3 linked regions of the Ovis aries genome follow. The protein of the gene in region 1 interacts with the protein of each later gene in a pairwise test. Links are inferred from orthologs where the notes say so. Each region holds a gene or a part of one and is shown in the gene's direction. Other genes may lie near its edges. The genes, in order: BNIPL, GFER and MIF.

What was found.
Region 2: the proteins of BNIPL (region 1) and GFER interact in a two-hybrid assay, tested with the Homo sapiens proteins (2 studies listed by BioGRID and IntAct). The link is inferred for Ovis aries from reciprocal best matches to the Homo sapiens genes BNIPL and GFER.
Region 3: the proteins of BNIPL (region 1) and MIF interact in a two-hybrid assay, tested with the Homo sapiens proteins (2 studies listed by BioGRID and IntAct). The link is inferred for Ovis aries from reciprocal best matches to the Homo sapiens genes BNIPL and MIF.

What each region holds. Positions count from the first base shown.
Region 1 is NC_056054.1:100,975,244-100,978,307, forward strand, and holds part of BNIPL (bcl-2/adenovirus E1B 19 kDa-interacting protein 2-like protein), read left to right. Parts: intron 1-2,017; coding exon 2,018-2,200; intron 2,201-2,386; coding exon 2,387-2,489; intron 2,490-2,652; coding exon 2,653-2,784; intron 2,785-3,064. UniProt on the Homo sapiens protein: May be a bridge molecule between BCL2 and ARHGAP1/CDC42 in promoting cell death.
Region 2 is NC_056077.1:2,061,736-2,066,139, forward strand, and holds GFER (FAD-linked sulfhydryl oxidase ALR), read left to right. Parts: upstream 1-1,518; 5' UTR 1,519-1,536; coding exon 1,537-1,788; intron 1,789-2,055; coding exon 2,056-2,252; intron 2,253-3,146; coding exon 3,147-3,309; 3' UTR 3,310-3,838; downstream 3,839-4,404.
Region 3 is NC_056070.1:71,339,102-71,341,833, forward strand, and holds MIF (macrophage migration inhibitory factor), read left to right. Parts: upstream 1-1,433; coding exon 1,434-1,541; intron 1,542-1,787; coding exon 1,788-1,960; intron 1,961-2,042; coding exon 2,043-2,109; downstream 2,110-2,732.

The sequences.
Region 1 (3,064 bases):
AGACTTCAGACTTCAATCACACGTCCAGGGTATCACCTGTGCTTCTGACTGACAGGGGATAAATCACAGGTGCCCACTACACCCTCCTGAGATTTGATAGTTTGCTAGAACAGCTCACAGAACTTGGGAAAACAGTTTACTTACTAGATTACAGGTTTATTATAAGAGGATACAGCTCAGAAACAGCCAGAAGGAAGCAATACATAGGACAAGTTATGTGAAAGGGGAGCACCACCCTCCCAGTACCTCTGTGTATCACCAAATAGGAACCTCTCAGAATCCCTTCAGTTAGGGTTTGTTTATAGCATTGTTCTTTGCCTGGGCTGGGTCTGCATTGCTGTGAGTGGGCTTTCTCTAGTTGGGACAAGTGGAGGCTGCTCTCCAGCTGCAGTGCGCACAGGCTATGGGCACCCGGGCTTCAGCAGCTGCAGCACACGGGCTCAGCAGTGGCAGCAGGGCAGGCTCTAGAGTGCAGGTTCAGGAGTTGTGGCTGTTGGGCTTAGTTGCTCTGTGGAATGTAGAATCTTCCCAGACCAGGGATTGAACTCATGTTCCTTGCATTGGTAGGCAGATTCTTTTCTGTCGTATCACCAGGGAAGTCTCAGTTAGGGTTTTTTTATGGAGGCATCATATGTGGGCATGACTGATTAAATCACTGACCATGCGTGATTTAGCATGACCTCCAATCTCTCTCCCCTTCTCAGAGGGCAGATGGCAAAAGTTCATCCCCCTGATCATGGTCACTTCGCCTGGCAACCAGTCACCCATCCATAGGAGCTTTCCAAAGTCACCTCATTAACATAAACTTGTGTGGTTGAAAGAGACCTGTTATGAATAGGAAAAGATACTACTTTCACCTTTATTGTCAGAAGCCAGGAACAAAACCAAAATGTATATTATTATATTACAGATCTGAAGGACTGGGCAGTGAAGAGGGTGAGAAAAGACTGTGTTAAATAGGCAAGGGTCAAATTATGGAGGTCCCTGCTGCCATACTAAGGCGCTTAGATTTTATCCTGTAGGCAATGAGTTTTAATCAAGGGAATAACATGATCAGGTTTAATGGCTTTTAAAAGATTGAAAGCAACCTAAAGATCTGTGAGGAGGATGTTAATTCTATTACTGTACACCCATGCAATGGGATAGAATGCAACTATTTTTAAAAATGAAGCAGTTCTTTCTATGGCTATGGAAAAATCATGCAAAAACTTAGTGAATATAGAATATTGCTATTTGAGTGAAAATGGGAGGGGAGGGAAAAATGTTTGCTCTAGCAGTGGTGGGTGGGATGGAGGAAAACAGATAAGAATAGGGAGATAGAAGGCTAGTACTAAGGCCAGATAAGAAATGCTAAGACGTTATACCAGGACAGTAAGAGCAGAAAGAATAATTTATAATCTAATGGAAGTAGATGGAGGATGATCTGACTTGAGGGATGGTAAAGAAGTAAGAGTCTTGGATGGCATAGAATTTTCTCTCCCAGACAGTTAAATGGATGGGGTCATTCATCAAGAAAGAATATAGGAAAGAGGAGGAAGAGAAAGAGTGTGAGTTGCACTTGGGGTCTGGTGACTTGGAGATGACAGAGAAACACAAAATAGAGGTGTCCACTCCAGACATTCAAGAATATGGGTCTGGTATCAGGAAAGAAGTCTGGGTTAGAGAGGAGTCATCACCATACTGGCAGTAACTGAAGACACAGGAACAAATGAGCTCACCCAAGGAAGGAAGGAAAAGCATCAGAAGAAAGAAAGAATCTGGGAAAATGGCAGAGGCCATCAAGCTACCATAGTTCAAGGTTGCCTCCAGGCCATTGTCCAGTGACAAAGTGAGGATGATAAGTCACAGGAAAGAGAAATCAGCAGAAGGTTGGGTTGATTGGACAAACCAGGGCTAGTCATCGGGGGAAAATGAGGAATTAGTTGTTGGGGTAATAAACGCTAAGAATCTAAGGAAGTTTCAAGATGCTGAAGTTACGTATTCTGCCTTGTTGATCCTTCCCCATCCCTCTCTTTAGATGAGCTGCCTCGGGCAGAGGGCCTAGGGGCCAGTGAGGCAGCAGAAAGGCTGGGCCACGGTTGTATGTGGGATGTGGCTGGAGAAGATGGTCATCGCTGGAGGGTGTTTCGAATAGGACAGCGGGAGCAGCGAGTGGACATGACTGTCATTGAGCCCTATAAGAAAGTCCTATCTCATGGAGGTAATGGCTATAATAAGTGAAGGGTTAAGAACTGTGACTTCTTGAATAAAATGCTGAAGCTGGAAATTCAGTTATTGGGTTCAGAATCCTTCCTTCAACTTCTAGAGACCCACAGAGATGCTCAACCTAAACAGATGTACTGTCCATCAGCACTTATTTATTGAGTTTTCCCCTTCTCCTCCCCAGGCTACCATGGTGATGGCCTCAATGCTGTTATCCTCTTTGCTTCCTGTTACCTACCCAGAAGCAGCATCCCCAACTACACCTATGTCATGGAACACTTGTTCAGGTGAGGTGGAAGGCTTAAAGGGCTCCAGAGTGGATGTGATAGAGGGAAATGTTAAAAAGCACCCCTTCTCTGATCAGTAACTGACTGTCAAGTCTACAGCAATGTCCCTCTCACTCCCCACAACCCCAAACGCATACCTTCCCTGACAGTTCCATCTGTCCAGGTACATAGTGGGAACCCTGGAGCTGCTGGTAGCTGAAAATTATCTGCTGGTTCACCTGAGTGGAGGCACAAGTAGGGCACAAGTTCCACCTCTGAGCTGGATACGCCAGTGTTATCACACTCTGGATCGGCGGTGAGCCTCTCGGATAAGAGGGCTGTAACTCTCTTATCCTTTTCTCTTTCATCTCTCTATTTTGTTCTTCTATTCGGTCTCTTCTACTTTTTTGTTTTTTGGCCCTGGGATCTCATTTTCTGACCAAGGATTGAACCCCAGGCACTGTCAGTGAAAGCCTGGAATCCTAACCACTAGGGCCACCAGGGAACTCCCTCTTCCACTTTCCTTTGTCCGCCTACAACCCTTTCCAAGGTTCTCCTATTTTCTGTCCTCTCTTGGAGTCAAGGAAATCTAGTTT
Region 2 (4,404 bases), on another chromosome or scaffold:
AGAAGGGCCAGTGTGCTCACAGCCAGGGACCTAGAAGGACGCTGCAGCCCCTCCCTGCATGGCTGACCCATGTTCCCCACCCCCCCCAACTGAGATGCTCTCCACACTCTCCACATTCCCTCCCTCACCTCTCACCTGGACCACTACAACAGCTCCATGCTCCCCCCTCAAAGCCTGTGGTCCTCACTTGCTGTCGTGAAATCCACTCTCCAGAAGAATCTATGCAAAACCGAAATGGGATCAGGCCAGGGTACCCTCCCCCAAACTTCCCAGCACTGTCCCAGGGTCCTCAGCACACATCCCCAGCTCCTGGGTCAGTTGATGGTGTCCTCAGTGGGCTCCTGGCCACCTCAGGACCTCTGCTCACACCACCCTTCCCAGGTCCTGTCCCACACTGGCCTTTCTGCCCATGCAGGAAGTCAAGCTCCTCCTCCCTCCTGCGTTGGCTCTGACAACCCTCCTCAGCTGATTTCTCATTCTTCAGGCCTCTCTGCCTAAAGGTCAACTCCTCAAGGAGGCCTCCTAGATTTAACACACCCTGTTCATAGCCTCCATCACAGCTTGTATCTAAACACTTATTAGTGTGACTCTTGTTTTTTCCGTCTCGACCACTAGACTGAGGAGGTCAGGGAGGAATGAATCTTGCTCCTGGCCCTGTCCAGAGCCTAGAGCAGTGCTAAAGACAGATCAGGCACTACACAGGTATTTGCAGAATCAATTAATGTGCATATTAATGTACATGTGGAATTAAAGTACATATGGAAGCAGTGGTATCCCTGAGACCACGCCCCACCTGGGTTTAACCCCTTCAGGTAGGCTGTGGGGCTGAGCAGAGAGGAGAGGGGCTGCTCAGTGCTCCCCGGAGTCCAGAGACGCACCTCCTCCTTTGCAGGCTCGACCCGCCCAGCCTAGGCGGGCACCCGTGGCGATGGCGCCGGTCGCCTAGGCGGACTCGCCGAACCTTCAGCTGCACCGCCCTTTGTGCGCTCACAGCCCCGCCCCGCATTGCCCAGGCGCCAAGCACCGGTCCCGGGCGCGCCCCCAGCGGAGGGCACAGAGCCAAGCCGCAGGCACGCGAGAAGGTCGGAGCGGAGCGATGAGGCCGTCGCGGGCCTCAACACGGAGGTCCAGAAGGCCGCAGCCCGAAGCCGCGTCGCTCCCATGGGTCGTCATCCACAACACAGTGACATACTCGAGGAAGCGGGAGCTGTGCTACGGCCGACACAAGACCGGCTCGGGCGGTGGAACGAGGCCCAGGCGCAAGGCTAAGGCTCGGCGCTCCGGCGCCGCGCAAACCGCGGCTCGGGCCTCCGGCGCGTCCCCAGTTCGCACTCCTGCATCTCCCGGGGCGCGGACCCGGGCCGCCAGCCGCGCCCCCGCACCGGGCCCCGCCCCCGGGCCCAGCTCCGCGTCCGCGGCGCGCGCGCCCGGCTTCTGCGGTCGCGCTCTGGCGGCGGCGGCGCGCGCGCTGGCCTGGAGCCCGCCTGGTTGCGGTCGTGGCGGCTGCGCTGGCCCGGCAGGCACTGCGCGGGCGGCATGGCGGCGCCCAGCGAGCGCGGCCGCTTCGGCACTGGGATCTTCCTTCCTGGCGGCGCGCGCTCCGAGGTGACGGACGACCTGGTGACGGACGCGCGCGGCCGCGGCGCGGGTGGGAGAAAAGCCGCTGCTTCGGCCCGGGCGCCATCCGCGGGGCCGGCGTCCGACCCTCCGGCCTCCGAGCTCGCCTCCCCGCGGTGGCCCTGCCGGGCCTGCGTGGACTTCAAGTCGTGGATGCGCACGCAGCAGAAGGTGCAGGCGTAGGGGGGCCCCCACACCTTGTCCTCGGGCACCCTGGACAGGCTCCCCGCCCCCTCCCCGGGGGTCGGCGCTTCCTAACCGTGCCCCCAAGGTAGGCCCAGCCTTTTGGCTCTTGGCCATGTGTGGGCTGGATCGGCCCCAGGACTTTTTCTCCGGTCAGTGGGTCTCCGGCTGGGGCGGAAAAAAAAAAAATAGGGAACTTTGTAGGTTTCTGGTCGGGGAAAACCGAACTGACCCTTGGTCGGCCTCCTTCCACAGCGGGACAGCAAGTTTAGGGAGGATTGCCCTCAGGATCGCGAGGAACTGGGCCGCAACAGCTGGGCTGTCCTCCATACCCTGGCTGCCTACTACCCCGACCTGCCCACCCCAGAGCAACAGCAGGATATGGCCCAGTTCATACATTTATTTTCCAAGTTTTACCCGTGTGAAGAGTGTGCCGAAGACATAAGGAAAAGGTGAGTCGTGTCTGCAGAGTGTGCAGCCTGGGTCTGGGGCCCCTGGCAGATGCCATAAAGGGGAGCCTAGAGAAGTAGAGGCCGTCGTGGCAGCGGGTTGTCTAGAGCAGGGACCACCAACAGCGGAGGGATTCTGGAGCCATCGCCTTTCTCCTTAAAGGCCAGGCCTGGGGCTGCTGCTGGGGGCTGCTGCTTTCTGCAACCACGGAGTTCCCTCCCCGGGAGGGCTACTCTCATGAGATCCCTTGCTTTGCACTGATGAAGACTCTGGCAGGTTTCCAGGGACTCCACTCTGTCTAGCTTCTGGAGCAGGACCTTCAGTTTCAAGGCCTTGGGAACTCACTGCTTTTGCTTCCAAGAGCCACCTTTTTGGGGAGCCCAAGAACTGTTGTTTGGCAGCCATAAGCATTTCTGGGCTGGCTGTGGGGTAAAAAGGGCAGCCCTTGCTGTTTGGAGCCTGGGCATTTATTTATACGAGGTCTCTTGCTGAGGTGGTGTGGTAGGGCCAAAGGTGTGAAGAAGCAGACCTGGTTTTCAGGTAGGCCTTTATTCCAGCCCTGCCCCTCCACACGCTGCCTGGGGCCAGGGACGCTAGGGTGAGGCCTCCTGATTGTTATGAGGCTGTAAAGTGGAGACCTTGTGCCTTAATGTCTTGCCCGGGGCTCTTGTCAGGGTTTGCCACGTGCCCTAGGTAGGGGTTGGAGCAGGCCTAAGAGTCAACTGGGACTTGAGGCTGGAGGGTCAGCTCCCTTCTGGGAATTCCTCAGAGCATGAGGGCACCCCTAAATCTAGGCCCCAGCTCTCTTCCCTGGATTGGGCAAGCCAGGAAGATGGTGGGGCGGGCATGCTGGGAGCACAGCCTGCCCCCTCCTGCACGTGCTCCCCCTCACGCAGGATATACAGGGACCAGCCAGACACGCGCACTCGGGTGAGCTTCACCCAGTGGCTCTGCCGTCTGCACAACGAGGTGAACCGGAAGCTGGGCAAGCCAGACTTCGACTGCTCACTGGTGGACGAGCGCTGGCGCGACGGCTGGAAGGATGGCTCCTGTGACTAGCCAGCGGCTGAGCCTGGGGAGGCCCGGCCAGAGGGGGCGGGGCTCATTAAAGTGCCATCACACACAGAGCCGGTGGTGTCTCCGTTGGGTGGTCCCCAGACCCTGCCCTGGGAACCCTCTCCCTCTCCGGTTCAGAGGAGAAGTGGAGGAGCCCGATGCAGGCACCTCAGTGGTGGCCTCCTCACTGTGGGCCTGTGAGGCTATCGACGGGAGGCAGGGGCAGCCCAGGACGTCCCTTCCCTTCAGGATTTGGCCTCCTGCTCACCCACCCTGCCACCTTCTCCACACAGGAAGCCCACAGGCCTGGCTGGGCACCACCATCTCGCCCCTCAGGCCTGGCCAGTGTCTCCCCACCTTGTAGTGAGGGACAGCATGGGATAGTGACTGTAGCCCCGGAGGCTGTGCGCTGTTTGCACATCAGGAAAGAGGCTTATGGGCCGAACTCTGCTGCTCACCTCCAATCCGGCCTCTGGCCTTACAGGTTCCGTGGAACTCAAGACCAAAATAAAATGCTGGAGAAATGACCGAAGCCCTGGCTTCAGCGTATTTTGTGCTGGGACTTGCAACAGCGGACAGGCCTGCTGCTTCCTTATCTGGGTTCTGGCTCCCCAGGAGAAGGGGGCCTTTCCAAGGCCAGGGTGGGCTAGGATATTCAGGAACAGGAGGCTGAGTTGCTGGAGCTGAGGGAGAGTGGATCAGAGGAGGGGAGGTTGAATGACAGAAGGTCCTCAAGGCCCCAGTAAGGATGTGGTTCTGACACCCAGCTCTGACCAAACATGCATCGTGGAGGATCTGGAGCGGAGGGACGGCAAGGTGTGACTTGAGCTGGAATGTGGCGGAGGTGGCCGAGAGTAGGGAGGAACACCTACTCCACAGCAGCTGAGAGGGAAGCTCACCCCAGGGTGGGTGGCAGACATCACTGGATACATTCTGAAGGTGGAGTCCAAGGTGACTACAGGCTTCTGGCCCAAGCCACTGGAAGGAGGGAGTTGCCCAGTGTGTCTGAGATGAGAAGGCTGTGAGTGGTGCAGGTTTGGGGGTGACCTAGACCCAGCTTTAGGGCCTTCCCAGATCCTCTCAACCACACCCATTCCC
Region 3 (2,732 bases), on another chromosome or scaffold:
GCAGGTCACAGGACCGTATGGATTCGCTGCCCCCGGCGGCTCACGGAGACTGGGCGGGGCGGGCAGGAGGGGCGAGGACCGAGCACAGTGGAGGAAGGTCCATCTCACTGGCAGGCCGTCAGGGACAGGCGAAAGGCAAGCACCTGGATTTGGACATAGAGAACAGGCTGCGCGGGCTTGCCTGCTGGGGCTCGGGGGAGCCCCCGAGCTCGAGGCGGGCGTGGAGGGCATCCGTGGTTAACAGAGCCCCGGGCACAGGTGGCCGGCTGGGGTAAGAGCAGGGACGGAAGGGGCCTGGAGCCCGCCTTTTACAGAGCATCTGCCCAGCTGGGCCACGGGACCTCCTGCCTGAGTACACCTGGTCCCACTGGCATGGGGGCCGATGTCCAGGCCAGCATGTATGGGGCCCCCCTTAACCAAACCACGCCTGCCAGAGGCCAAGAGCAGGATCTCCCCAGAGAGATCTGAGACTTGGCCCAACCAGCACGCCGCCCCAGTGCCCGACAGAGCTCCGCTCCCCAGCGCAGCCCCGTGACCAAGGTCTCCTCAGAGAGGGAGCTGGGCAGCCTTTCTGCTCAGGGACGGCAGGGCCTGCAGGCTCAGCCCTGGCCCTGCCCTCTTCCTGCCCTCTCAGGGCTAAGTTCATTCACTCCTTCATTCAGCCAGTATTTAGTCCACGTCTCATATGCCTGGCACCTACGGGGTGCGCCCTGAGAGACCTCCCCCCCAGGGCTCTGTGAGACAGCACCCCCAGAAGACCTGATGGGGTGGGCTTCCCTGAGGAGCTGACATTTTCACCGCTGCAGAGAGGTAGCCCGGTGGACTGAAGCTTTGCGGACTGCCTCTGGGCTCCGTGTGCTCCCAGCCCCTCCCCTGGGCCCCTCCGGGCAATCTCACCCACTCCAAGAGCTGGGTGCAGGAAGGCCCCTGGATGGCGACGCGCTGTGGCAAGCGCTGCCCACATGCAGCAATGACCACCGCTCTGCATCACTCACACGCACAGACACACACGCACACACATACACACGCATGCGCGCAAGACTGTGCCCCTGGAGACTGCGGACACCCAAGGACTCCGCCTGCGACCTCCTGGAGGGCCAGGGGTCCTCTGTCCCGCTAACCGCTGTTCCCAGCACACAGACATCCCTGTGACTAAGCCAAAGGGCTGGCAAACCAGGGAGCGGCCGACTTCCGGCCGCCCGGCGGAGAACGGCTTGGACGGGGCGCGCGGGGCCAGAGGCGGTGACGTCACCGGCCGGGAGCGCGCCGCCGCCCGGGGGCGGGGCCGGCGGTGACGCCGAGGGAGGCGGGGCCACGTCGGGCCGGGGCTGGGCGGGGCGCCGGGCGGCGGTCACGTAGCTCAGGTTCCCGGGCTGCCTTGGCGCGCGCGTCGGTCGGGTCCTGCGTGCCGGTCCCCGCCGTCCCTCGCCATCATGCCGATGTTCGTGGTGAACACCAACGTGCCCCGCGCCTCCGTGCCGGACGGGCTCCTCTCCGAGCTCACGCAGCAGCTGGCGCAGGCCACGGGCAAGCCGGCGCAGGTCTGCGGGGAGGGCCAGGCGGGAAGCGCGGCTCCGGGATGGGGCCCCGGGCCGGGAAGGCGGGCGGCTCCGGGATGGGGCCCCGGGCCGGGAAGGCGGGCGGCTCCGGGATGGGGCCCCGGGCCGGGAAGGCGGGCGGCTCCGGGATGGGGCCCCGGGCCGGGAAGGCGGGCGGCTCCGGGATGGGGCCCCGGGCCGGGAAGGCGGGGGCGCGCGAGCCGGCTGACCGCGGCCCCTCGCCCGCAGTACATCGCGGTGCACGTGGTCCCAGACCAGCTCATGACCTTCGGGGGCTCCAGCGAGCCCTGCGCGCTCTGCAGCCTGCACAGCATCGGCAAGATCGGCGGCGCGCAGAACCGCTCCTACAGCAAGCTGCTGTGCGGCCTGCTGACCGAGCGCCTGCGCATTAGCCCGGACAGGTGCGTGGGCGCCGGTGGGTGGGGGGCGCGCGGCCCCGACGGCCCCCGCACGACCGGCTCAGCGTCGCTTCCTCCCTCGCAGGATCTACATCAACTTCTGCGACATGAACGCGGCCAACGTGGGCTGGAACGGCTCCACCTTCGCCTGAGGGACGCGCCACGGGTTCCCAGGGCCCGCAGCCCTGGCGCGCACGAGTTTCCCTCCCACCCTGCCCCCACCAACCCCGCCTCCCTGGAAGGAGCAATAAACGGTGTGGAGACGCCGGCTGCCTCGGCTCTTTTTGGCTTGCAGAGGAATCGGTGCAGGGCGGGGCCGGTGAAGGTGGAACCGAGGCCGGGACGTGTTATCCCCGGAGTCTGCAGCCTAGCTTTCCACGCCTCAGCCCCCAGTAGAGGGCCCTCACTTGGTTGGCATCCTGCCTGCACCCAGACCCAGGAATCCAACTCAGATCCAGAACCCTCCGTCCCCCCTCCCCACCCCGACCTCCCGCAGAGGCCCAGCCACCACGTGGGTCGGGGCTGGCGGGGGAACAGGGGGAGGGGTCAGAATCCCAGTAGAGGCGCGGAGGGGAGGAGAGAGAAACCTGGGCTCCGTCGGGGTCACTGCCTCGATGCCGCCGCCCACCTCAGTGTCGCTATTTGGGAAATCCCCCTGTTCTGGAACTTGGGAGCCACTGTCTGGTGTGGTGGCGGGGGAGGTGCCCGGAAGGTGGAGTTCCTGACGATGCCGCCCAGTCCACCCCAGGGCCCCTGGGGCACAACAGTTTCCTTT